7 linked regions of the Callithrix jacchus genome follow. The main gene of each other region encodes a partner of the protein of the gene in region 4 in a complex. Links are inferred from orthologs where the notes say so. Each region holds a gene or a part of one and is shown on either strand. Other genes may lie near its edges. The genes, in order: TMEM107, AHI1, CEP290, B9D1, TMEM67, TMEM231 and TMEM17.

Evidence for each region.
Region 1: B9D1 (region 4) and TMEM107 share a complex: the UniProt entries of both Homo sapiens proteins name them as parts of the tectonic-like complex. The link is inferred for Callithrix jacchus from reciprocal best matches to the Homo sapiens genes B9D1 and TMEM107.
Region 2: B9D1 (region 4) and AHI1 share a complex: the UniProt entries of both Homo sapiens proteins name them as parts of the tectonic-like complex. The link is inferred for Callithrix jacchus from reciprocal best matches to the Homo sapiens genes B9D1 and AHI1.
Region 3: B9D1 (region 4) and CEP290 share a complex: the UniProt entries of both Homo sapiens proteins name them as parts of the tectonic-like complex. The link is inferred for Callithrix jacchus from reciprocal best matches to the Homo sapiens genes B9D1 and CEP290.
Region 5: B9D1 (region 4) and TMEM67 share a complex: the UniProt entries of both Homo sapiens proteins name them as parts of the tectonic-like complex. The link is inferred for Callithrix jacchus from reciprocal best matches to the Homo sapiens genes B9D1 and TMEM67.
Region 6: B9D1 (region 4) and TMEM231 share a complex: the UniProt entries of both Homo sapiens proteins name them as parts of the tectonic-like complex. The link is inferred for Callithrix jacchus from reciprocal best matches to the Homo sapiens genes B9D1 and TMEM231.
Region 7: B9D1 (region 4) and TMEM17 share a complex: the UniProt entries of both Homo sapiens proteins name them as parts of the tectonic-like complex. The link is inferred for Callithrix jacchus from reciprocal best matches to the Homo sapiens genes B9D1 and TMEM17.

The regions. Positions count from the first base shown.
Region 1 is NC_133506.1:74,652,738-74,657,002, forward strand, and holds TMEM107 (transmembrane protein 107), read right to left. Parts: upstream 2,801-4,265; 5' UTR 2,676-2,800; coding exon 2,589-2,675; intron 2,413-2,588; coding exon 2,345-2,412; intron 2,245-2,344; coding exon 2,144-2,244; intron 723-2,143; coding exon 626-722; intron 405-625; coding exon 335-404; 3' UTR 160-334; downstream 1-159. UniProt on the Homo sapiens protein: Plays a role in cilia formation and embryonic patterning. Requires for normal Sonic hedgehog (Shh) signaling in the neural tube and acts in combination with GLI2 and GLI3 to pattern ventral and intermediate neuronal cell types.
Region 2 is NC_133505.1:142,163,750-142,167,249, forward strand, and holds part of AHI1 (jouberin), read right to left. Parts: intron 3,008-3,500; coding exon 2,889-3,007; intron 4-2,888; coding exon 1-3. UniProt on the Homo sapiens protein: Involved in vesicle trafficking and required for ciliogenesis, formation of primary non-motile cilium, and recruitment of RAB8A to the basal body of primary cilium.
Region 3 is NC_133510.1:93,099,044-93,102,543, forward strand, and holds part of CEP290 (centrosomal protein of 290 kDa), read left to right. Parts: intron 1-272; coding exon 273-437; intron 438-1,401; coding exon 1,402-1,509; intron 1,510-1,753; coding exon 1,754-1,888; intron 1,889-3,387; coding exon 3,388-3,500. UniProt on the Homo sapiens protein: Involved in early and late steps in cilia formation. Its association with CCP110 is required for inhibition of primary cilia formation by CCP110.
Region 4 is NC_133506.1:83,255,613-83,259,112, forward strand, and holds part of B9D1 (B9 domain-containing protein 1), read right to left. Parts: intron 1,848-3,500; coding exon 1,736-1,847; intron 1-1,735. UniProt on the Homo sapiens protein: Component of the tectonic-like complex, a complex localized at the transition zone of primary cilia and acting as a barrier that prevents diffusion of transmembrane proteins between the cilia and plasma membranes.
Region 5 is NC_133517.1:33,398,869-33,402,368, forward strand, and holds part of TMEM67 (meckelin), read right to left. Parts: intron 3,177-3,500; coding exon 3,090-3,176; intron 2,493-3,089; coding exon 2,427-2,492; intron 939-2,426; coding exon 782-938; intron 1-781. UniProt on the Homo sapiens protein: Required for ciliary structure and function. Part of the tectonic-like complex which is required for tissue-specific ciliogenesis and may regulate ciliary membrane composition.
Region 6 is NC_133521.1:32,947,265-32,950,764, reverse strand, and holds part of TMEM231 (transmembrane protein 231), read left to right. Parts: intron 1-2,969; coding exon 2,970-3,098; intron 3,099-3,427; coding exon 3,428-3,500. UniProt on the Homo sapiens protein: Transmembrane component of the tectonic-like complex, a complex localized at the transition zone of primary cilia and acting as a barrier that prevents diffusion of transmembrane proteins between the cilia and plasma membranes.
Region 7 is NC_133515.1:51,607,283-51,611,379, forward strand, and holds the start of TMEM17 (transmembrane protein 17), read left to right. Parts: upstream 1-1,297; 5' UTR 1,298-1,326; coding exon 1,327-1,426; intron 1,427-4,097. UniProt on the Homo sapiens protein: Transmembrane component of the tectonic-like complex, a complex localized at the transition zone of primary cilia and acting as a barrier that prevents diffusion of transmembrane proteins between the cilia and plasma membranes.

The sequences.
Region 1 (4,265 bases), about 8.6 Mb from region 4:
CCCGCCCACTTCCTTCCCCCAGACGTCTACCGTAATAACCAAAATAGAAGCGATATCAAGTATCTTACGGTCTGCAGGACTAGAAAACAGCGTAGTTGTTTTTTTCTTCAATAGTTAAGCCATCCCAATTGTCCCCTGAAAACTATATAACTCTTGATCTTACTACAAAACATATTTTATTACAAAACACTAAATACAATGCTGATAATCCCATACATCCAACACATATCCTCTAGCAGAAGCAGTTTCCAAGGGGAAGACTGAAGCCTATGCCTTTCTTCTTCCAGGAATACGAAGCGGCCTCCCATGTAGCCTTCGACCATCAGGAAGGTGATCAGAAAGGTTTCTTTTTCAGCCCAAAGATGGCGATGAATAAAGCCATTTCAGTGACAGCTGGAAGGGCACTACCGAAGCAGGTGGTAGATTCAGAAATCCTTTCAATATAAATATGCAAATCTCCAAACTAGAGACCCCACCCCTGAAAGTATAGGGCAGGTGGCATGGGGATGGGGGATGAAAAAGACTACAGGATCTCATGCATGGAAGAAGGGACCGGGTGGGGGAAAACTTTCAGATTTAGGGTAAACCTTCCTCCCTCATCCCCAAATATTGGGTGTTACCACACCTGCAGAAGAAAAAAATGTACCAATACGTAGTGCACTCCCAACGCTCAAATATGAAGAAGGACAGGGCCACGGATGCACTACAGTGAGCCCCAATGGCTTGGGAAGGCACCACAGTTAAGGAAAGTCTTTGGATCGACAGATAGTGATGGATCAGAAAACATCAGTGGTGGGGTTGGCATCTGCACTCAGGTTCATCGCTTGCTCCCTCACCATATTGCAAGGGCTAGAGTCAGCAGCCCTGACTTCTGAATTGTAGGATGGTCATATGAGGAGAGACCAGAAGTAACTGCATAGATGGGACCTCAGGCTAGCCTACCCCACATCTAGAGGCCAGCTTGGACCCTTCAGATGAGAGGTAAGAGTAGGCTCTCCTACCATGCCACACAGGAGTGCTGACAGCGAATTGATATGCTCTGCTGGAATCAGCCTCCAGGGTTCTAGCACTCCTGGTTCACAGTTCTCTGACCCACGTGCTTCATTTCCTTTGCCATTTCTGAGTTCCCATTGTGCTTTCTACCTTTTGTTTGTTTGTTTGTTTGTTTGTTTGTTTGAGACAGAGTCTCACTTTGTCACCAGGCACCAGGCTGGAGTGCAGTGGCACAATCTCGGCTCACTGCAACCTCCGCCTCCCGGGTTCAAGCAATTCTCCTGCCTCAGCCTCCTGAGTAGCTGGGACTACAGGCACACGCCACCACGCCCAGCTAATTTTTGAATTTTTAGTAGAGACGGGGTTTCACCATGTTGGCCAGGATGGTCTCAATCTCTTGACCTCGTGATCCACCTGCCTCGGCCTCCCAAAGTGCTGGGATTACAGGCTTGAGCCACCGTGTCCCGCTTGTTTGTTTTTTGACGGAGTCTCACTCTGTTGCCCAGGCTAGAGTGCAGTGGCTCAACCTCGGCTCACTGCAACTTCTGCCTCCCAGGTTCAAGCAATTTTCCTGCCTCAGCCTCCTGAGTAGCTGGGGTTACAGGTGTGCCGTCACCACGCCCGGCTAATTTTTGTATTTTTAGTAGAGAATGGTGTTTCACCATGTTGGTCAGGCTGGTCTCAAACTCATGACTTCAAATGATCCACCTGTCCTGGCCTCCCAAAGTTGCTTGAAATAAAGGCGTGAGCCACCGCGCCCACCCCTCTTTACACACTCCTATAGCACCCTGCTTATCACTGAATTACAGATATGTGTCTGCCTCCTCCTCATGATAAACAAAAAAGGTGAAGTTCTCATTATTACTATTATTTTTGTAGACATAGGGTCTCACTATGATGCCTCAAGCAATCCTCCTGCCTGGGCCTCCCACACTGCTGGGAATACAGACATGAGTCAACGTGCCTGGCCGAAAACTGTTTTACTCTCATTTTGGGATTTTAAGTGCCTAGTAAACAGCAGGATTTAGCACATGTTTGAAGATATCCGAACTGGAGAGATTGGTTACAGCAGACACTATGGTGTCAGGTGGCTGAAGGGAGTCCTGATGGAAATGGTCGTGTGGGAAAGGTGAGCAGGAGGAAAGGATACAGATGAGGCTCTGGGTGCTGTTGAACATGGAGACTCCTAGAAGGAAACCGGCCAGCTCCACTGCAAAGAGGCCCAGAGTGACAGAGAGCGCGGCCACCAGCCTGCAGAAAGGAAGTGGACAGCCTCAGGCCCTTGGACTTCTAAGAACCCTCCACTCCCACCACCTCTCCGTTCTGACCAGCCCATTCCGAGAGAGCTCACTGAATGTCCTGCTTTTCATACTCCTCGGGGGTGAACCTGAGAGGCAGGCAGGCCTGGATGTTGCTGTCCTGGGAGCAGAGCAGAGAGGAAGAGAAGTGAAAAAGGGACGGGCGGCGAGGCAGGCCTGGGGGCGGCGGGGAACGAGAAGACCTAAGTGGGTAAGACACTGGGAGAGGGGCAAGATGGGGCTGGGACCACTCCGAGGTGGGAATAGGGGCGGACGGATGTCAGCCGTGGGTCTTACCCGGGACCAGAATAAGGTGATGACGACCACCAGATGCGCCAGGAGCGTCAGGAAGCGAGAAGGTACGAGCCCTGAGACCCGGCCCATGGCCCTTGGAAACAGGGGCGGCGGTCTCAGAGGCCGGAATTTCAAAGAGAGCGACTCCTGAAGTCTCCCTGCAAGCGGACAAAATCTAGACGAACGCCTCCTTCCCGCCCGCTCAGGCACCGCCCAGTTACCTTGGTAACTCCGTACGCGAACGCGGCGCCGCGTTCTCGAAAAACATCGCGAGAGCAGTATATTCTCAAGCTGCTGCTGGCCTCTTCCGGCTTGCGCAGGTCAGGGCTTCCCCGAATGCCATTCTAACCCAACGTTTGGGTATCCGCGCGTAGCCAAGCCCTTTGTTCCTGAGAGGGTGCGAGGTGGCACGGCCCCGCAGCGCCCGATCTACCCGCCCAGGACCGACGAACGGAAACCGACCTGGGCTAGCCTGGGGGCACCTCGGCTTCCGCAGTTGCCGGGAGCGGCCCCCAGCCCCTTCTACACCGACAATTGTGGATCTCCTGAGGCCGCGCCACCGCCATGCCGGGCTGAGGTCCGGGTCCCCGCCATGCCGAAGACTCAGACACGCTCCCCTTCCCCTCCTCCGTATGCCTTTAGCTTCCCACCAAGCTGGCCTCAGAAACAAGGGTCCCGAACTTGGAGAGGCGGTGTCCCTAGACTGCTCAGCAGTCACAGATTGTCACGGAGCCCCTGGATGTCTGAGGACCCCAGGCCTGAACTTTCCTTGAGGAAGACTGATTTCTCTCAGTCTAACTTTGCTCAGTTTGGTGAGGGATTTGCAGAGTGCAAAAAATGGCAGAGCAAGGGGACCGGAAAGGGTGGGAGTGGATGGAGGGAATGGACAGTCCCTGCATCCCTGGGAGGCTTGGAGCTGACTGGAACGGAAACTCAAATCAGATTTCTTTATCTCTTGGAGGTGCTGGGCCTCCGACATTACCCAGCTACAGTCCAAGAAGCTCTTATCATCGGCAACCTCATGACCTTTGGGTTTCAGCGCAGGTCCCCGCTGATCGGAAAGCTCTTTCTTCTCGCAATGCTGTCAAGTCCCATTCTCAAGGGTCCTCCCGGCTCATTTCCCCGGAGAACAACCGCTTCCTCTTCCTCACTCCCCGTCTCAGTGCCTTTAGCCAGTCTAAATATATGCCCAAGAGGCATTTCTCATTTCTTCAAATATTGTTTGTATTTACTGATTACCTAGTAGGTGGATTCTAGTCAGGGAGATCAATAATAGACATGCAAACAAATCCGCAAGATACTATATGCTATGAAAAGGGAAACGCTACAATTATAATTCTATAAAAAGAATGGGGCATTTGTTCTTAAACTTTATTTTAGAAAATTTGGCGCAGTAGCTCATGGCCGTAATCCCAGCACTTTAGGAGGCCAAGGCGGGCAGATCACCTGAGGTCAGGAGTTCTAGACCAGCCTGATCAACATGGTGAAAACCGGTCTCTACTAAAAATATAAAAATTAGCTGGGCATGATGGCGAGCACCTGTAATTCCAGCTACTCGGGAGGCTGAGGCAGGAGAATTTCTTGAATCCTGGAGGTGGAGGTTGCAGTGAGGCGAGATCGCGCCACTGCACTCCAGCCTGGGCGACAGAGCGAGACTCTGTCTCAAAAAAAAAAAAAAAA
Region 2 (3,500 bases), on a different chromosome or scaffold from region 4:
AATCTATAAGCAAAAAAGATTTTACAAATTTAACTGTCTTAACCATGTAAATGAATGGTGGTAGAAAATTTTTTCTCTTAAATACTTAATTTCTATTCAACAAACATTTTTTTGAGAATCTGTCATATGGGAGACATTCTATAATATGATGGATACAGAATAAACAAGAGCTAATCCCTGGAGCCCAGGGAGTTTATCATTTAGCAGGAGAGAAGAAACATGTCAACGTAAAATAGAAGGTGGACGTACAAAGTACTACAAAAGAAAAACAGAAGAGTTCTTTTCAAACTTGGATAAAAGAAATTAATTTTAACTATGGAGAGAGACTACTTTATGGAAGTAGCATTTGAGCTGGTTACTAAAAAATGGATAGAATTTTTATACTCGCTGGGTGCAGTGGCTGATGCCTCTAATCCCAGTACTTTGGGAGGCTGAAGTGCGCGGATCACGAGATCAGGAGATTGAGACCATTGTGGCTAACATGGTGAAACCTCGTTTCTAAAAATACAAAAAATTAGCTGGGTGTGGTAGCGCATGCCTGTAGTCCCCGCTACTCCAGAGGCTGAGGCAGGAGTATCACTTGAACCCAATAGGTTAAGGTAGCAGTAAGCTGAGATCGTGCCACTGCACTCCAGCCTGGGTGACAGAGCAAGACTCTGTCTCAAATAATAATAATAATAATAATAATAATAATTTTTTTACTCATAGTTTCTTCCACCTGATGAATTTTTAAAACAATAAAAGGAATATTTGATCTGTGAAAATAATTAGATAAAACATATTAAATCATCTACTAAATATAGTACAAAGCCTTCATATTTTTTCACTCATGAAATAATAGTTACCACCATTTCAGCACATACTTTGTGCCAGGTAGGTACTATTATTGTCCCTGATTTACAGAGAGAATATTAGATACACTGCTCTGTAATCTGCTGTTTTCACTCAAAAATAAGTCATAATGGACCTTCGTGTCAGAAAATATAGATTATACATAAACATTTTAATGGGTACATTAAATCTATTGTTGGATGACATTAGAATGTTTCCAGCTTTCCCTTACCATGAACACAATTTCTATAAATAATCTTGTGTGTATATACATATTACAGCATTTGTACTGTTTTATAATTATTTTCTTTCTTTTTTTTAATTTTTTATTGGATTATAGGTTTTGGGGTACATGAGCAGAGCATGCAAGACAGTTGCGTAGGTACACACATGGCAGTGTGCTTTCTTTTCTTCTCCCCTTCACCCACATTTGGCATTTCTCCCCAGGCTATCCCTCCCCACCTCCCCCTCCCACTGGCCCTCCCCTTTTCCCCCCAATAGACCCCCAGTGTTTAGTACTCCCCTTTCTGTGTCCATGTGTTCTCATTTTTCATCACCCACCTATGAGTGAGAATATGCGGTGTTTCATTTTCTGTTCTTGTATAATTATTTTCTTAACATAAATTTCCAGATCTGGAGTTACTGGGTCTAACTTTTCTAGGGTCCTTGCTATGTGCTTTACTGTTTTAAATACTTTACATGTATTAAGTTGCTTATTCCCCATCAAAACCCTTATGTGTATGGTGTATTATTTCTCTCATTTGAGAGATAAGAAAAGAGGCACATGGAGAGATTGATCAGCTAGTAAAGGGGTAGAGAAGGCAGTATTTAACTCTAAGTAGTATGTCCTGCAGAGCCCAAGCATGATATTAAGCTGTAAACTATACTGCTTAAAATTCTCTCTCAGTATTCCTTGCCAAGAACCTATGCTCATACAGACTAACTCACTCTGCTTTAAACGCCTATTATTTCACTTCTGAACTTTATTTTGTTTTCTATTCTACTGAAATATTTTATCTTGTCGAAATTCTACCCATCCTTCAAGACTGAGCTTAAATGGCAGCTGCTCAATAGAGCTTTTAACAGAAGACTATATTATAGTTGTCAGCTCTATTGCTGCTATGAAGAATAAAGTCCTTTTATTACAAATTTATATTCATTAAAATACATATTGAACACTTGCTAGCTGCCAGGCACAGCATAGATGCTACATACAGGGGGGGAAAAAAAAGTAGCTTCCAGTCCTAGAAGGTCTCACATTTTAGCTTAATTAAAAGTTTTTTGGTTTTATTTTGAAGGTACACAACTGGATTATAAACAAATGGTTTAATTTTGCTTATTCTCCCACAGCATCCAGGACAGTTCCTTGAAGTGTTTTACATAAATATTGAAGGGTATAAGAGTTAACCCTAAAAAGATACAAAATTAAACTAAAATAAATTACATTTGCCTTTCTAAATACTAGAAAGACATTAATAAAATAGCTTTCTCTCATTTATTTTACAGAAACTCTTAACACCACAACAAAAGTGTACTAGAAGTCCATGCTGACTTCCCAGCATTGCTTTTGCCTTTTACAGTAAGGATATTTCCCTACATTCACCATTATTTGGAAATAAAGAAAAAAACACAGATGTATAAATCAAAACCCTCTCCTTCAGTTGTAACATATTATACTAATGCTATAACAGTATCATAGTGATATCAGTATCAGTCAGTATCATTGTAGAAGACAGAAACTTCCTTTTTTTTTTTTTTAAATTGTGAAAACAAAAGCAACTAACTACATTTCAGCCTCAGAACTATTCACATTTTGGGCTGGATAACTGTTGTAGGGAAGCTGTCCTATGGTCTGTAGGATGCTTAGCAGTATTTTTTATCTCTACTCATTAGATACTAGAAGTAACATAAAAAAAAATCTCCAGCTACTGCCAGATGTTCCCTGGTGAGTGTGGGGACACTGCCTAGTTGAGAACCACTACCATGTTTTATAAATATAATTTAATTCATTACTTATTCTGTGAGTACTTAGCCTGTCAATACTGAAATATACTTACATCCGAAGATCCATAATTCTCAAAGTACTGTCTTTGGTATGGATTAACAAACGTTTTCCATTGGGATGAACCTCCAGATAACTAATTGGAACCCCCTTAAACTCAGTTTCTTTAATTTCCTAAAATGATAAAAAAATACTACTAATGAAAAGTTTGTCTAATGTTAAGCTTTTTTTCAGGTACAAAATTAATTTTAAAATATCATTTCCAATTCTGCTGTATAGGATGCTTTATAATTGTTAGCAAAAGGATTCTGAGTAACTTCAGTTTAGGTTCAAAATAAAGCTCATGAACTGTATTTCTATTATGGAACGCCACATTTAATTAGTATGTGGCATTAAACTAATTAAACTAATTTAATTAGTTTTTGTACTATGTTTACTTTCCTCAAATTTAGTCAGTCCCAAACAAGAAGCACTTCCAACAAACTCATCTTCTAACATTAATTTTTTTGTTTAAAATCACATAAGGAAGCTTCCAATTTTTATACATCCAAAACCACATGTACAATTAATTTTCAAGATTCTATTCTTATTTAGATAAGAATTTCTAAAAACAGAAGGGACTGTTTTTAAACAGATCTGACAGACTCGACAGATTTAACTGCAGTTC
Region 3 (3,500 bases), on a different chromosome or scaffold from region 4:
ATAAACATATAACAAATGAAAAAAATGAAAGTGAATGTTAGTAATGTCCATTCCAATATAATTTGAAGATTTTATTGTAAGTTCCCACAGTTGTAGAAAAGTCAATGGAAATCCTAAATAAAAATTTGTCATGTGGCTTGAGAAAAGATAACATTGTGTCTTATTTTACTTTAGAATGACCATTACTTTCAACTAAAATCATTATGATCAATAAAGTAATATTGTTTGTTGATATGGCATTTATATTTGTATATATAAATTGTAAATCTTAGGTAATCAACTGGCATATGAAAATAGAAGAACTTCGTCTTCAAGAGCTTAAACTAAATCGAGAATTAGTCAAAGATAAAGAAGAAATAAAATATTTAAATAATATAATTTCTGAATATGAACATACAATCAGCAATCTTGAAGAAGAAATTGTGCAACAGAACAAGGTTTTATATTTGTTTTGTATTTTCTAAGATTTTAGATAAGAATATTGCACAAATGACTATGTTATTCTAATTGAATTCAGCTTTTATTACTAATTGATTACATAATAATTTTTTCTTATTTTTTCAACTATTCTGAAAATTTATATTTAGTTTTTATAACATTAGTCTTAAAAAGGGCAATATATAGACAACCTCATTGATAAGTTAATTTTTATTTTGAGATTGGTTATTTGACTTTTCACAGTTCCAGGTTTCTACTGGCTCTCACTGACAGAGTAAGAAGGCAGCTTGTTATAGAATAAAGTGTGCGCTACAGAGACAGATGAAATTCATCAGACATATGACTGTCTCAGAGATTGTTCCCTCTGCTTAAATTGTTCTTACCATAAATACCCGTGGTGTTTACACTTTCAGTGCCTGCAGGTCTTAGCTCATATGTCTTATCTTATCAGTGCATCCATCACCAGCCACCTAAGATACAACCGTAAATTCTACTGTCAAGATTCCCTAAATAGAGATTATCTTAATTTTTCTCCATAGCACTTGTAACCTTCAGGTATATTACATACTTACTTGTTTATTATTGACTGTCTCTCCTTCACCAGAATGTAAGTTCCATGGTGACATGGACTTGGTTTTGTTTACCGCTGTGTTTGTACTGCCTAGAATGATGCTTTGCACACAATATATATAATTAAATATATTTTGGATGGATGGATGGATGGATGGATAGAGAGATTTAAATTACATCTGCCTTTCTGCCTTTCTTACTTCACATGTGCCTTTCTCTGTGATCTTACACAAGTTACGTCACCTCTCTGAGTTTATATTATTTTTCATAAAAGGAAAATAATTACAGTTTCATCAATGTGTTGTGAGGATTAGTTAAGAAAAAATATATGAAATGCTTGTTATGTGCCTGATGTCTTTGTGTATGTGTCTGACACAAATTGTCTTTTGTTAGTTTCATGAAGAAAGACAAATGGCTTGGGATCAAAGAGAAGTTGACCTGGAACGTCAACTAGACATTTTTGATCGTCAGCAAAATGAAATACTAAATGCAGCACAAAAGGTATGAATGATTAATCTTGTTTGCTATTCTGTAGCATGGCCTAGAGTGTTAATTCACAGAAATATTTCCTGTATCAGATATAATTTTAACTGATGTTATATTTGTATATATTAATTGATCTTATATTTGTATATTTAAAATATGAGGGGTTTAATCTATGTTTTATCATAAAGCCGTAAAAGTTAATATTGTTATTTTCAATGCTGTAACTGCTTTTTTAAGAAAACATACTATTTGTTAATAGTTTGAAGAAGCTACAGGATCAATCCCTGACCCTAGTTTGCCCCTTCCAAATCAACTTGAGATTGCTTTAAGAAAAATTAAGGAGAACATTCGGATAATCCTAGAAACACAGGCAACTTGCAAATCACTTGAAGAGGTAATTAGAAAAAATTGCATTTTGATTCGTGTATTCTTTGGAATGTTTGTGGGGGGTGTTAAATAATGTTTCTTTATGAGGATGATGCATAGAATGATGAATCTGTTGCTAATTTCACTCTTTTTCTGTTCTCCTTTAATGCTTCTAACAACTGATAATGAATAGCAGATATGGTTAATTTGAATTCACTGTTTGTTTTTTTTTTTTTTTGAGACGGAGTTTTGCTCTTGTTACCCAGGCTGGAGTGCAATGGCGTGATTTCAGCTCACTGCAACCTCCGTCTCCTGTGTTCAGGCAATTCTCCAGCCTCAGTCTCCTTAGTAGCTGGGGTTACAGGCACACGCCACCATGCACAGCTAATTTTTTGTATTTTTAGTAGAGACGGGGTTTCACCATGTTGTCCAAGATGGTCTCGATCTCTTGACCTCATGATCCACCCGCCTCGGCCTCCCACAGTGCTGGGATTACAGGCGTGAGCCACTGCTCCCGGCCCTGAATTCACTATTTAGTTATAACTTGTTACCTTTAGGTTCACTGATCAGCACTAGCGTGAAAGGAAAAAAAAGCATTTAATTGTAGCTTTATGAACCATATATTATTTTCCTTTATATGATCTTTCCTTATTTTTTTGGTTTTATTTTGAAGTACATGTTACATAATCTATTAATCCATTTTCAGTTCATTCCTTTTTATGCATGGCTAAAGGGTTGAAGGTAAATTAGAAATTATTTTCTGTTTTAATCTAGATCTTGACTTTGGTTAGTAGGTGATCAAATCTGTCATCTTTATTAAATTATTTTGAAAATAATTAAAAATATGATTTTCATGTTAGTTTCCATATAAATATATTAACCCCAAATACACTTAAAAATATATGTAAAGGAGTTTTTCAAGTAAAATTGTACATTTTTAATCAGTTCAGGAAACTTAGATTTTCCTCAGTAATTGTAAGATTTGTCATTTATGTGAATTGCCACTGAATCACTTAATTTAAAATACCTTAATCCTCTTGAAGAGTAAAAATTTTTCTAGTTTTTTTTTTTCTGTTTTGTTTTAATAAAGTGCAGGTTTTATAATACTAATTTCTTGACTTGGGCCACTAAAATTCCAGTTTTGTACTTCACTGACTTTAGATTAGTCTTCTAATGCTCTGCTAGTCAATGGACCAAAATAAAGGAAATAATTTATTACATATTCTTCCTAAATCTAGCACAACCACACATTTGTAGTTCTAAACTGTAATATCTCAATAAAGTACATTAATTAAATTTTATTTTTGTTGTAACAGTGAAGTTTCTAACATATGTAATACTCTTATAAACTATGTAAATAAATGTTGTCAATTAGAAATAGTTTAACCTTATTAAGTATCAAATGGCTATTGTACATATGATGAGAAAAATAAAGTGAATTTTTTTTTGCTAATAACCTAAAATTCAGATGAAGTATTTAAAGGAAAAAATATGCTTTACTGATTTATTGTGATTTAATCATTGCAGAAGCTAAAAGAGAAAGAATCTGCTTTAAGGTTAGCAGAACAAAATATACTGTCAAGAGACAAAGTAATCAATGAACTGAGGCTTCGATTGCCTGCCACTGCAGAAAGAGAAAA
Region 4 (3,500 bases):
GTTATATTTTTCCAAAGAGGCTTCTTTTCTTATTTTTTTGAGACAGGTTCTCACTTTGTTACCCAGGCTGGAGTACAGTGGCGTTGACCTCCTGGGCTCAAGCAATCCTTCTGTCTCAGCCCCCCAAGTAGCTGGGTTTACAGGTGCCCACCACCACACCAGGCTAATTTTTGTATTTTTAGCAGAGACGGATTTTTGCCATATTGCCCAGGCTGGTCTTAAACTCCTGAGCTTAGGTGATCTGCCTGCCTCAGCCTCTCAATGTGCTGGAATTACAGACATGAGCCACCATGCCTAGCCAAAAGAGGTTTCTTATTTGCTTTTGCCAGGTGCCTTGGGTGTAACAATCTTGGAGCTGAATGCAAAAATCAGGAGGTTGAAATTATCAGGGGCCAGGCTACAATCCCTGTGAGGCTGCTTTGCTTCCATCTCTCCCTTATTCCTAGGGCAGCTCTTTGGGTCTTAACCCAGTTTGCAGAGATTTACCTGAGGCCCTCCTCCCAACCCCTTGGAAGGCTCTGAACATCAGTTTTTTGTGTGTGTCCTGGGCCCAGAGAGGCTGTCAAAAGTCTTGATCAGTCTCTCAATCACCTCTATTGGAATCAGCAAACACTCCCAGGGGAGATGGGATGGGGGTAACCTCTGGATTTCTGTTCTTCTCCTGGATCTTGCCTGGTAAATCTCTTCTACTTCACTAGCTCTCTGATGCCTTTGAGGTAGTTGCTTTTTGTTTTTGCCTTTGTGTATTTCATTTACCTCTCCTACCTGTCTTCAGCAGGAGGAGGTTGGCTGAGTTCCTATAGTACTTACTGCACTATTACAGGAAGTCGACTGCAGCTTCCTATTCATAGATGATGACAGCAGAATGGAATTCCCTGCCCAAGAGGACCACCAGGCATTTTCTGCTCCTGACCCTCAACACTGTGGTGAGCCTAGGCCCAGGCCACATGCAGCAGAAAGGCCTAGATCGTGAAATCAGAGGGGCCTGAATGAAAATCCACACCTGGTCAGTAGATGTAAAGCAGAAGGCAAGTGAAGTCAGTTTTGAGTGTCAGTTTCCTCATATGGGAGAAGAAATGGAGAGAAATCTACCTACCAGGTATGATTGGGAAGCTCAGATGAGTTCACATAGGGAAAGTATTCAATGTCCCATGGAGACTAAGCCAGTAGGCACTTATTAAGTGCAAGTGGAAGATCAGCGTGGTTAATAAGCACCAGGCAGGGTAGAAAATAAGTAATGCCAGCCAGGAAGCCCTTGGGAAAGAGGTTGGAGGTAGGACATGGGAAGGCTATCTGGAGAGAGGGATCAGCATGAATGAAGCTCAGATGAAGGAACTTGAGGGGCTAGCACAGGAGGAGCAAGTGCCAGGGTCTGGTCGGAACACAACAGGCCACGGGAAGTCAACAGGCACGGAGTCAGACCTCCAGGCCAGACAGCTGCAGCCCTGCATACCAGGGAGGGGCCTGCCTTTTACAGGCATGGTCACTGGCCCTGATCCACTCTGAACTTCCAGAAGGCCAGCTGCACAGCTGTAGCAGATGAACCAGGGTGAGCACAGATGAGGAAGAGGAGGGAAAGGGACAGATGGTGAGAGAGAGAGTGCTGAGGGCTGCTTCAAGAGCCCAGGTGACAATGTGAATGTGAACAGTCATGGGCTGGATGAGGCAAAGGCCGTCTTGGGGGTGCTGTGTGAAAGCTCTGCCACCCTACCCTGCAGGGCCCCTGCAGACTCACAGCCATAGGGGTTGGTGCTTTTAAAGGTGACATCAATGGGGAAGTTCCACACCAGTGCTTGCCGCACATCTTGGCTCTTAGATGTGATCTGTGAGATCCCCTCTTCCAGACCCTGTGGGGACAATGACAGAGACAGCTAGAGTCAGATCAGAGTCAAGCTGCTGTGGCTCCTCCCTTACCTTCAGCAGGCAGCTGGGAAGGCTGTTTTCTCAGCTATCTTCTCCCAAGACACTAGATTTCAAACAAAGGGGACTAAGAGATGATGGAATACCTCTTAAGTGTGGTACTTTAATGTGGTAGTGTGTGTGACAACCCTGGGAGGCCAGCCACTCTCCCAGGCACAAGGGCACTGGGATCTGTTCCCAAGCTCTTGCTACACGGAAGGAAATGGTCCAGCAGTATTTGCACTCCCCTGCATCCCCACCCGCATCCGAGCATCCCCATTGGTAAGCACATAGATGTATTTTGTCCATCACACAGTCCTTTTTCAACTCTGCTGCCTCTTCCACCCACCAACCCATTCTCTGCTTCCGTTACAGCAAAACTGCTTCCAAGAGCTGCCTCACTCACCAGATCCAATTTCTCCCCTACCATTCTTTTTTCTTTTTAAACAGAGTCTCACTCTGTCGCCTCAGACTGGAAGGCAGTGAAGTGATCTCGGCTCACTCCCAGGTTCAAGTGATTCTTCTGCCTCAGCCTCCTGAGTAGCTGGGATTACAGGCACGCCATGCCCAGCTAATTTTTGTATTTTTAGTAGAGATGGTGTTTCTCCATGTTGGTCAGGCTGGTCTCAAACTCCTGACCTCATGATCTGCCTCCTCAGCCTCCCAAAGTGCTGGGATTACAGGCATGAGCCATTGCACGGGCCCCTCCCCTGCTATTCTTCTGTGACCCCACTCCAATGTGACTGCTGGCTCCAGCACTCTACCAAAGGGTTTTCTCCAACAATGTCCATGATCAGCATTGCCAGATGCAAAACAGTCATTTCTCCGTCCTTGTGTTACTTGAGCCATCAGCAGCGCCTGATACAGTTGCTTCCTCCTTGATACACTGTCTTCCGTTGGCTTCTGGGTCTCTCCACTGCACAGGGTGGCCCTGCTTGGTGGCTCTTGCTGGTTCCTTCTCAGTGTGCCGTCCTAAGGCTGCATCTTTGGCCAGCTCCTCTACCTGTACTTGGTGATCTCATCTGTCTCATGGCTTTCGATGTGCTCTAGATGTCAAAGGTTCCCAAATTTATGTCTCCATCCTGGTCCTTGCCTCTGTACTGTGGATCAGCACCTCCTCCAGTGGGCGCCTCAACCTTAACCCACACCAGGCTGAGCTCCAGGTAGCGCTCCCCAATCTGCTCTTCTCACTGAAAGGCAGCTCCCTACTTCTCAGTGCTCAGGCTAAAAGCCCTGCTGTGAATTCTAGCTCCTCCTTCTCTCACACCCCACATCCACCAGAAGAGCCCAGCGGCTTTATCTTCAGGGTGTACTTGCAGTCCAGCCCTCCCGCCACCATACCGCTGCTGCCCTCCTCTCTCATTGCATTGCTGTCAAAGCCAACTGTGCTGCCTGCTCTTGCCCTTTCCTGAAGTCTATCCTTGTCATAGAAACCAGGGAATCTTCTAAAAACACAAGTCAGATCGCTTTCTTGTCTGCTGAAAGCTCTCCACGGGGACCCCAATCCCTTTGAGTAAAGGTCACAGTCCTTACTCTGACCTTCTAAGTCCTATAAGATCCACCCTGGTGCCTCCCTGCTCCATCTCCAGCTGCTTTCCTGC
Region 5 (3,500 bases), on a different chromosome or scaffold from region 4:
TTAGTTAGAATGGCTGCAAGAAGCTATTGGTATAAGAAACACCTGACAATGGCCTTCTCTTAACTCATGTGAATGTCTTCTTTTGTTTTTTTTAGATAGGGTCTCACTCTGTTGACCAGGCTGTAGCGCAGGAACATGATCATGGCTCACTGCATTCTCAATCTCCTGGGCTCAAGTGATCCTCCCAACTCAGCCTCCAGAGTAGCTGGGACTACAAACGGATGCCACCACACCAAGCTATTTTTTTTTAGCAACAGGTTTTCATTATGTTGCCTGGGTTGGTCTTGAACTCCTAGGCTCAAGCAATTTTCCCGCCTTGGCCTCCCAAAGTAATGGGATGACAGGTGTGAGCCACCACATCTTGGACTTGAATGTCTTCTGATTGTTTAAACTTTTCATAAATTTGGAAGGCTTTTCCCGCAAATTACCTGAAAATGCAGGATTTTATAACATGAATAACAACAAAAGAAACTAATTTGTCCAAAAAAGTATATTCAGGACAGCTTGAAGAAAAAGTCCCAATTTACGGTTCTACTAATGTTTCTCAGGATATACCCTTAGCAATAGTATAATTTCTTAACAATATGTCTGGCAATAAAATTAGTAAAAATTTCTAAATCCACCAGCAATTTATTGCTTTATTTTTGGCATGCTGTATGGAACCATATGAAAGAGGATTCATGACCTTTCTTATAATCAGTGGTTTATTAAATTATCATGTGGGTTAACTTATTGATTTATTTCTGCTCAGGGAAAGAGTGGTTATGTATGGATGTCTTACCTTGGTTCACAAACATCTTATTGTGCTGAAGATTTAGGTTTAACACAGGCACAGCCAAAATATATTGATGTTGATTTTCAACAGTATATTCAAGGTATACATCATAAAATATAGGAGTGGGAAAGTCAGTTAAGATCTTAGAGATGGGAATCTCACACTGAAAAGTAAGATTAGAAATAAAAGCATATAAAACAGCAACTTAAAGTACTAAAAAGTAAAATAAAAAGATAAAAGATCACAATTGAAAATTAGCAAGCACATTTATCATCTTCAGAGTGTTTTTCTAGTTTTGCAAAATATCTTTACACTACCTTGTCTATATGCATTTCCATTTGGCTTCCAAAGCATGAATACCGTAAATACGATTATTTTATAAGAACCAAAAACACCAACAGTAAAGAACTGCTTTGTTCTTGAGCCTCAACTTGGATGAAGAAGGTATGCCTTCATTCTCAATAAGTGTACATCCATGAAAAGGCTTAAAACTACCGTCCTGTGGGATAAAGTCCCATTTTTTTCTCCTGATGTACAATGATGTCTATGATCTGGCTTCCATTAACCAAGCCAGGCTTATCTCTCATTACTCCCTATCAGTCTGTGGTGGTCCATTCATACTAACCTACTTGCAGTTTCTGAATATGGCATGCTATTCTATGTCTCTCTGTCATTGCAAATGCTATTCTATGTCTTTCTGTCTGACATTTCCTTCTCCACTGTGTTCTCCTGGCAAACTCATATTCATTATATAAGCCCAATATCACTTACTTTGTGAAGCCTTTCTATAGTTCCCCAGAAATCAGTACCTTGTACATACCTATAGAATGACACTTACCACATTCTTTGCAATTCTTTGTCTATATAACTGTTCTGCCCACTAGGCTATGAACTACTTGAGAAATTAAAATGCTTTTTAAACCTGATGGAACATTGGTTCCACAGTTTATGTGACACAAGACTTTGAGTAAATTACCTAATTATTTGGCATTATTTCCTCATCTGTGAAGCACAGATATTATGTATCTCACATAGTTATTTTATAATAATAATGATAAAATGCTGAGCATACAGAGACAGGCATTGCATAGGTGTTGATCTTCCTGGCCTATGTTAGACGCACAATAACATTTATTTTAAAAACAACAACAGGGCTGGGTGTAGTGGCTCACGCCTGTAATCCCAGCACTTTGGGAGGCCGAGGCTGCTGGCTCACTTGAGGACAGGAGTTTGAGACCAGCCTGGTCAACATGGCAAAACCCTGTCTCTATGAAAAACACAAGAATTAGCCAGGTGTGGTGGTGCACGTCTATAGTTCCAGCTATTTGGGTGGTTGATGCACGAGAATTGCTTGAACCCAGGAGGCAGAGTTTGCAGTATGAGCCAATCTCACCACCGCACTCCAGCCTGGGTAACAGAGTGACACTGTCTCAAAAAACAAAACAAAACAAAAAACCATAGATAACAAGATGCTCTGTTTATGCCACTTAAGCTTTTCTGTACCAAGATAAAAAATTATATTAATTAGTGAAATTATTCATTACTATTAAAACATTTCCAATCTCAAAAATTTAAGTATTATTCCAATTACTGTTGATGTGATATTTTGAAAAATAAAGCTAAAATATAGACTAATATAGTTCAGACTTACATTTTGTTGATAGGTTGTTCCAAACGAATAAGCAGCATTGAGCCTTGTCTCTGTGTCTGGACAAAGCTACAGTAAAAGAATACAATAGATAAATATCTCTCACAAATATTTTCTATGCTTATACTCAAGAGTTCTCAAACCCAAAAATGTATATATGCTCTACATAACACTTATTTAACGTATTAAGGATATGAAAAGTTAAGGGAACATCTATTATAAATTAAAGTCATAACTTTAAAAAAAAAAAAGAGGCCGGGCATGGTGGCTCACGCCTGTAATCCAAGCACTTTGGAGGCCAAGGCGGGTGGATCACCTGAGATCGGGAGTTCAAGAGCAGCCTGACCAACATGGTGAAACCCCGTCTTTAAAAAATACAAACAAATGAATAAATAAAATTTAAAAAATAAAAAAAAAGAACAAGAAATTCTCGTTTAAACTACCAGGAAAAAAAAAAGTCAACTGTAGTATGTAACTGATGCTCTATTCATACAATAATCTAGTCTTTTCCTCTTGTCTTTGCCTCAGGCAAAATCTAGTCTATTTCTAGGAAAAGACTAGGAAATCTAGTTTTTTTCCTCTTGTCTTCTCAGGAAAAGCCTGAGGCAAAGAAAAGAGGGAATAAACAAGGCACATTATTAATTCTTTAACTAGCATTATGCTTACCTGTAAAACACCTCCTTCTAAAGTCTGCCACTTGAGAAAATTTCCTCTTATATCATAGGAAGCAGCAACAAACTTCAGTTTTGTATTCTAATTAAAGAAAACAAGAGCAAAATCAGGTCAAATACTCTGAAAGTAATACAATATCCTATAAAGAAATTTTCATTGTTGACTCATCTTTTTTGTTGAAAAATTTCATTCAATTACCTTTGTTTTCAGGCTTAATCTATTTTTATGACTAAACATACCTAAAAGAATTAGGCTGGTTTTTTGCATGAAAATTATTATTCTAGAATTGAGAGGCAGCACTAATGATAGATAAGCTCCTTTCGAATCTGTTAAATGGGAGGCAATGTGGGAGAATAGTGTCTGCTCAATCTGGAAGCTCAAAAAGTTAGAGGTGGGAATTTAGCC
Region 6 (3,500 bases), on a different chromosome or scaffold from region 4:
TTTCATTGATCCTTTTACCATTATGTAATGCCCTTCTTTGTCTCTTTTGATCTTTGTTGGTTTAAAGCCTATTTTATCAGAGAGTAGGATTGCTACCCCCGCTTTTTTCCCCCCTCTCCATTTGCTTGGTAAATCTTCCATCCCATTTTGAGTCTATGTGAGTTTTTGCACATGAGATAGGTCTCCTGAATACAGCACGCTGATGGGTCTTAACTTTTTATCCAGTTTGCCAGTCTGTGTCTTTTGATTAGGGCATTTAGGCCATTTACATTCAATGTTAATATTGTTATGTTTGAAGTTGATCCTGCCATTTTGTTACTGGCTGGTTGTTTTGCTCGTTAGTGGATGCAGTTTCTTCATTGTGTCAATGCTCTTTACCACAGTGGCTGGTACTGGTTGTTCCTTTCCATGTTTAGTGCTTCCTTCAGGAACTCTTATAAGGAGCTCTGTTGGTGATGGAGTCTCTCAGAGATTGCTTGTCCATAAAGGATTTTATTTCTCCTTCACCTATGAAGCTTTGTTTGGCCGGATATGAAATTCTGGGTTGAAAGTTCTTTTCTTTAGGGATGTTGAATATTGGCCCCCACTCCTTTCTAGCTTGTAGGGTTTTGCTAAGAGATCTGCTGTGAGTCTGATGGGCTTTCCTTTGTGAGCAACTTGACCTTTCTCTCTGGCTGCCCTTAGGACTTTTTCTTTCTTTTCAACCCTGGTGAATCTGATAATTATGTGCTTTGGGGTTGCTCTTCTTGAGGTGCATCTTTGTGATGGTGTCTGTATTTCCTGGATTTGAATGTTGGACTGCCTTGGTAGGCTGGGGAAGTTCTCCTGGATAATATCCTGAAGAGTGTTTTCCAGTTTTGGATTCATTCTCCCTGTCACATTCAGGTACACTGATCAAGTGTAGATTAGGTCTTTTCACATAATCCCATAGTTCTTGGAGGCTTTGTTCATTTCTTTTCACTCTTTTCTCTCTAATCTTGGCTTCTTGTTTTATTTCATTTATTTGATCTTCAATCTCTGATATGCTTTCTTCTGCTTGATCAGTTTGGCTGTTTAAACTTGTGTTTGCCTCACGAAGTTCTCATGCTGCATTTTTCAGCTCCATCAAGTCATTTATGTTCTTCTCTAAGCTGGTTGTTCTAGTTAACATTTTGTCTAACCTTTTTTTGAGGTTTTGGGTTTCTTTGCATTGGGTTAGGACATGGTCTTTTAACTCAAAGAAGTTTGTTATTACCCACCTTCTAAAGCCTGCTTCTGTCAATTCATCAAACTCATTCCCTATCTTGTTTTGTTCCCTTGATGGTGAGGAGTTGTGGTCCCTAGGAGGAGAAGAGGTGTTCTGATCTTTGATGTATTCATTCGTTTTGCGCTGGTTTCTTCCCATCTTCATGGATTTATCTCCTTTTGATCTTTGAAGTTGGTGATTTCGGGAGGAATCTCTGAGTGGTCGTCCTTTCTGCTAAGTTGGAGCTGTATCTCCTATATGAGGTTTTGTTGTTGTTGTTATTGTTTTGCCTGTAGAGGCGCTGCTGGGCTGCCTTGCATTCAGTCAGACTGCTGGGAGTTCTTCCCCAGGAGTTTGTTTATGCAGGTGAGGTTAGCCCCGCCTTCCCAATGGGAGGGCATCTTTCCTTCCCTGTGCTCAATCTTCCCTGTCAGAGTCAAACTGGTGTATTCCTTTCAACACTCTAGCGTGCCAAGCTTCAGTTTGTTGGGTTTTGTGGGGGTGGGACCTGCCAGGCCTTATGTCCTGTTCCCCTACTTTCAACTCTGCCTTTTTCTGTGGGATGGGTAGTTTGGTCCTGCTGGCATTAGTCCAAACTTCCACCCAGGTACCTACCAGGCAGGCCGCAGCCTGTCGCTCAAATTCGCATAGAACGAAAACCTGCAGCGCCCCTCAGTCAAGCAGGACTCTCGTGGACCATGGGTAGCAGGAGGGATGAGGGTAGCACAGGATCCGAATTGGAGCGCAGAGGGGCTGAAGTTCCTGGCTCTCCGAGCCAGCTTCACTTTCCGGATGAAGACACACCCGCCCTATCTCATTTCGCCCTCCCTGGGCTGCTCTCGCCTTGCTTCGGCTCACCTTCCCTGGTCTATTTTATCTGTCCTACCAGTCCCACTGAAACTAACCCGGCACCTTGCTTCCAATCGTGGAGTCCTCTAGCCCCTCTGCCTCTCACTCGCTGCAAGCTGCACTCCGGAGTTGCGTCCTCTCGGCCATCTTGGCAGCTCCCCCATCACGATTAGGCGTTTTCGTATTTTAACGAGCTGACTTCTAGAGGCGTAGAAGACGATTCTGACGTGCTACTTAAAATTTCCCTAGAAATCCAGGCATGTTTATAAAAAAGAAAAAGATACCAGTGTAGGCTGGGTGCAGTGGCTCATGCCCGTAATTCCAGCAGTTTGAGAGGCCAAGGTGGGTGGATCACGAGGTCAAGAGGTCGAGACCACCCTGGCCAAAACAGTGAAGCCTTGTCTCTACTAAAAATATAGAAATTTGCAGGGTGCGGTGGTGCGCACTTGAGATGCTCAGGCAGGAAAATCACTTGAGCCCAGGAGGCAGAGGTTGCAGTGAGCCGAGATTACGCCCACTGCACTCCAAAATGGGTGACAAGAGTGATAGATACTCTACCTCACACACGCACAAAAATACCAGTGTAAAACAAGATCAAGTGATGCAACTGAAACGCACAAATGCTATCCAGATGTTTCTGTTATTGCCCATTTATTTTGGCCAGTGAACATTTGAGAGACTCACATAGGAAGTTCAGGGGCCATGCACTTTGTATCTCTTTCCCCAATATTAATGCGCTTACCCCTGTCTATTTTTCTCTTTTTTTGGGGGGTGGGGGAGATAATGCCTGTTGTGTACAGCAGGACCGTGGGTCATTGTGTATGTATAGAAGTGATGTGGATTCCTCCCAGACTCATTAGTGACCAGGGCTGCTGGCCCTGTTTGGGTGTCCTAGACTAGAGAAGAAGACAGGAACCAGGATGGGAAGATGGACATGTTACATTTTAAGCTGGAGCTTCCCCTGCAGTCCACGGAGCACGTTCTCGGTGTGCAGCTCATCCTGACTTTCTCCTATCAGTTACACGTGAGTCAGTCCGCTGGGAGGCCGTCCTCTCTCTTGTGTCTTTTTCATAGACCAGAGCCCTTCTTCTGATTTCTAGAAGACCCATACCGTAGCAGGTCCTCTTCCCCATGTAGTTTGGGATCGCTTAGGCCAGCTGAATGTTTTTCACTGGAGTCATATTAATTAATATGGGCTACTAATAGCTCAGAAGGTTCTAGGCAGTGTTTCCTGCATGACTGTGCTGGGTGCGTGAGAGTCCCTTAGGTTTCAGCCAAGACAGCTGACTGTTAGACCCAGAGCCCTTCAGATCTGACAGCGGTTGGTATTGTTTGTTTTTCTAATGATTTCAGAGGATGTCAACCTTCGTGATGCAGAGCATGGCATTTCTTCAGTCCTCCTTTGCTATCCCTGGATCCCAGTTAT
Region 7 (4,097 bases), on a different chromosome or scaffold from region 4:
GGAGTTCGAGACCAGCCTGACTAACATGGCAAAACCCCATCGCTACTAAACAGACAAAAATTAGCCGGGCGTGGTGGCAGGTGCCTGTAATCCCAACTACTTGGGAGGCTAAGGCGGAGAATCGCTTGAACCTGGGAGGTGGAGGTTGCAGTAAGCCAAGATTGCTTGCACCGAGAGAAGGAGATTGCAGTGAGCCAAGATCACGCCATTGCACTCCAGTCTGGACGACAAAGCAAGACTGTCTCAAAAAAAAAAAAAAAAAAAAAAGGCAAAACTCTCCTTTGCTGTTAGAATTCAGGAAAGGTCAGTTAGGAGTAGGGAAGGAGTTTAGTGACTGAAAGGGAAGAGGGAGTTTCTGGGGATACTGTAAGATTGTTTCTTGAACAGGGTGCTGGTTGAACATGTAGATTCAGTTTGTGTATGTATGTATATTACACTTAGTTTTTTTTTTAGTAATATATCTTTATTACTAAAAAAGTATACAATTTTTATGTATGTATATTGCACTTAAAATTTTTTAAGTAATATATCTTATTTGAGAGAAAGCTAGAAAATATAGACATGTTTAACAATTTTTAAATCATCCACAATCCTACTAGCCAGTGATAACTAGTTAACATTTTAGATTTTTTCCATTTTTTTCAAACCAGTGTGCACACACTCCCTCCTTTCCTCCACCCATATTTACACACATAAATTTTGCTAAATTAGGTTCATTCTCATTTAGTTTTATTTCTGCTTTTTAAATTTTTACATAAACCGTATCATTCAATATTCTTTGCCAGCATTTTATAAGCAGCTGAAACATACTCCATTGAATGCATATGCTCCAGTACATTTCATCAGTTGCCCGTTGCTGCATTTTCCGATAATCAGTCACAGTATCTCTCTCACACACACGCACACACGTACACCTCTAGACATTCTTTAAGTTCTGCATTCATTCTCTATTTCCCTCCAGAAAGGTTGCAGAGATTTGTAGTTCCACTGGCAAGATGTGAGGGGTCCTTGTATCGCAGTCCAACCCCAGCCCATTTCTTAGTATAGGTTTGTTTTTACGGTGATAGGGCTCAAAGCAGGAATAAGGGATCTGCCGTTTTGGACACGGCCAAGGCACGCAGCTCCCGGGGCCTGGAACTCGCCCAAGGCAAGCCGGTCCCTTCCAGGTGCGCAGGCTCCCGACGAGACCCAGCCTAGCCAGGCAGCCCAGCGCGCTCCCGGGTCCCGCCGCCTCCGCCCCGCCCGGTTGCCGTGGGAACCACGGAGCGCGACTGCGCCCACAGACCAGCCTCTGTCTAAGGGGGCGAGGGATAGTGAGGCCCAGACATGGACCTGCCGGATCCGGTACGCCAGCGGCTGGGAACCTTCAGCCGGGCCGTGTTCAGTGATTCCAATCGGACTGGGCCGGAGTACAATGAGGGTCCCGGTGAGTGGACTAGGCCCGGCGCACCGGGTGTGGCCCGCCAAGGGCTTAGCGTGGGTTTTGGAGCCTCCAGAATTTGCCCAGACCTAAAATGGCGACGTCGCCTTCAGCTAGCTCTCCGCAGTCTTAGTTAGCGCCTTGGAGGAGGGGCCGGGTCGAGCGGGGAGCTGAGGCGCGGGCCGCCTATGGGCGGATAACCCAGGGCCGGGCCTGGTCTGCGCGTGCCGCCGCAGCCCAGCCGGCTCTTTATGAGAGAGGCAGCTGAGGTGGGGCCAACCTCTGTGCTAGGCGAGGCCCATCATTGCTCCAGAGAAACCCCAAAAATAAAAAGATAAAAGCCGTTTGCTGCACAGGCTGGTCCCGCGCGCGCCATGAGGGCAAAAGCCCAAGTTGCTTTTTCTCGGCTTCGCCCGCCCGGGCTTTTCTGGGCAGGATGGCGGGGAGCAGCCCAAGCAATCCCACCACCCCCGTCCCAGGGAACACATTTGCCTTTTCTCTTTTCCTAGCAGAAAAGTATGTTCCTCCTCAAGGCCATTTGCTGGTAGAAGAAATTTTGAAACAACAACAACAACAACAAAATTTTTAATGAGTCCTTTCAAACCACCATTCACTCTCAACTGGCATGTGCCATACTGGCTGTCTGTTCAACAAAACTCACCTCTTCCCTGCCTTCTCCACCTCCCCTATATGTAACTCTTACCATAAGGTAACAAAATACCACGATGCTTCTGCATCCTTCAACCTGATGACAAGTGATAACGCAATTTCCTCCAAAACAGTTTCCTTCTCCTACATCATGATGGTAGACAACACACTGTCAACCAAACCCATGTGGTTTTCATCATTCAGCTCTGCTGGGAAATGGAAATCTTTTCCTCTGCTTGGTTTTAGCAAATTTTAAAAAGGGACAGAGAAAAGTAAAGTCAGTTCCTATAGCTGCATTTTGTCACCTTGATCACTTGCCTATTCCCCAAATGTAGGCCTTTGTCATTTAGGATATACAGAGAAAAACGGGAAAAAATTAAGTTTTGATGTTTCTGGTTCCAAGGATGAGGCTTAATGAGCACTAACATCTGATAATAGAAGGTAAAAACGGACGTTTTCTGAAAAGGGCCCGATAGTAAATATTTTAGACTTTGTAGGCCATATGGTCTCCACAGCAGCCATTGATAATAGTTATTGAATAGGCATGGCTGTGTTCCAATAAAACTTTATGGACCCTGAAATTTGTATTTTATATGGATTTCTCGTGTGAAAAAAATATTTCTTTTATTAACCATTTAAACATATGAAAAAACATTTTTATCTCATCAACTATACAAAAACAGGCATCTGGCCAGTAGTTTATCATCCCTGATTTATATTGTATGTTTTAATTTAAATTCCATTTACAGAACTCAACTTGAACTTTTGCAAACTTTAGTAAATTTATCTTATGCTTTTAAGTTTCATTTACATATTAACTTGATTTTCATTTCCATGATTATAACTTTGATCTGCTGAAATAGGGACATAGCATAACCTTTAAGATATTAACACACAATACTTCTAACATAAAAACCATTCTTCGCAAAATTTGACTACAGTTTCTTCTCAAAGGTACTGAAATGTTCAGCTTGCCCAATTTATTATTCTTTCCCACATTTTCTTCTTTGTGGATCTGATTCTTTGTGCTGTAATAACAAGTTCCTATCATTACCATGTCCACAGCATTGTGCTGTTGCTATGAAAAAGATCCTAGGCTGGTGAGTTGTCTTCAAATTTAAGGTTTTTTTTTTTTGGGTTTTTTTTTGAGATGGAGTCATGCTCTGTCGCCCAGGCTGGGGTGCGGTGGCCAGATATCGGCTCATTGTAACCTCCGCCTCCCGCGCTCAAGCAATTCTCCCACCTCAGCCTCTCGGGTAGCTGGGACTACAGGTGTGTGCCACCATGCACAGCTAATTTTTGTATTTTTACAAAATTACCCCCATAGAGACAGGGTTTCCCCATGTTGGTCAGCATGGTCTCATCTCTTGACTTCACGATCTTCCCGCCTCAGCCTCCCAAAGTGCTGGGATTATAGGCATGAGCCACCATGCCTGGCCAAATTTAACAGATTTTTAAGAGTTCACTCCTTTACCAGTGGTAATTTAATAAACGGATGTAAGCAAAAGTAGGTCATAATAATCAGGCATATTCTTGGAGCTAAAGGAAACTTTTGCTTTGAGAGACCATGATTATTTCTTATATTTTAAATGACCGATAAAAACACTCAGCTATGGAGACAAGGGAAAAATACTGTTTTAAAGAAATTTATTTTAGAGCCTTTAAAATGTTACGTGTAGAGCAACTGATTTCAGTATATGTATCTGCTCTTAAGAATTTAGTTAAACTTAGGATGTATTGTATAGGGCTCAATTTTAAAAATCAAATTCTTAATTTAAGACCCTTCTCTTACATAAAAGCAAAAAGTGTTATGGAATAAACCTTAGGTAAATGGAACTCATGTATCACAAATGGTTATACTAGTAATGTCCTTATGACAGTATGCTTTCATTAATTCATTCTTTCTGCTTATGTTGCTTATGTGTATTTGATATTCACTGTGTGTAAAGCAAGATGCTAGATTCTGAGGTTCCCAGATTAGGGTAATACATGGTCTGTGCTTGCAGTGAGCCCGTAGATAAGTAGAAGA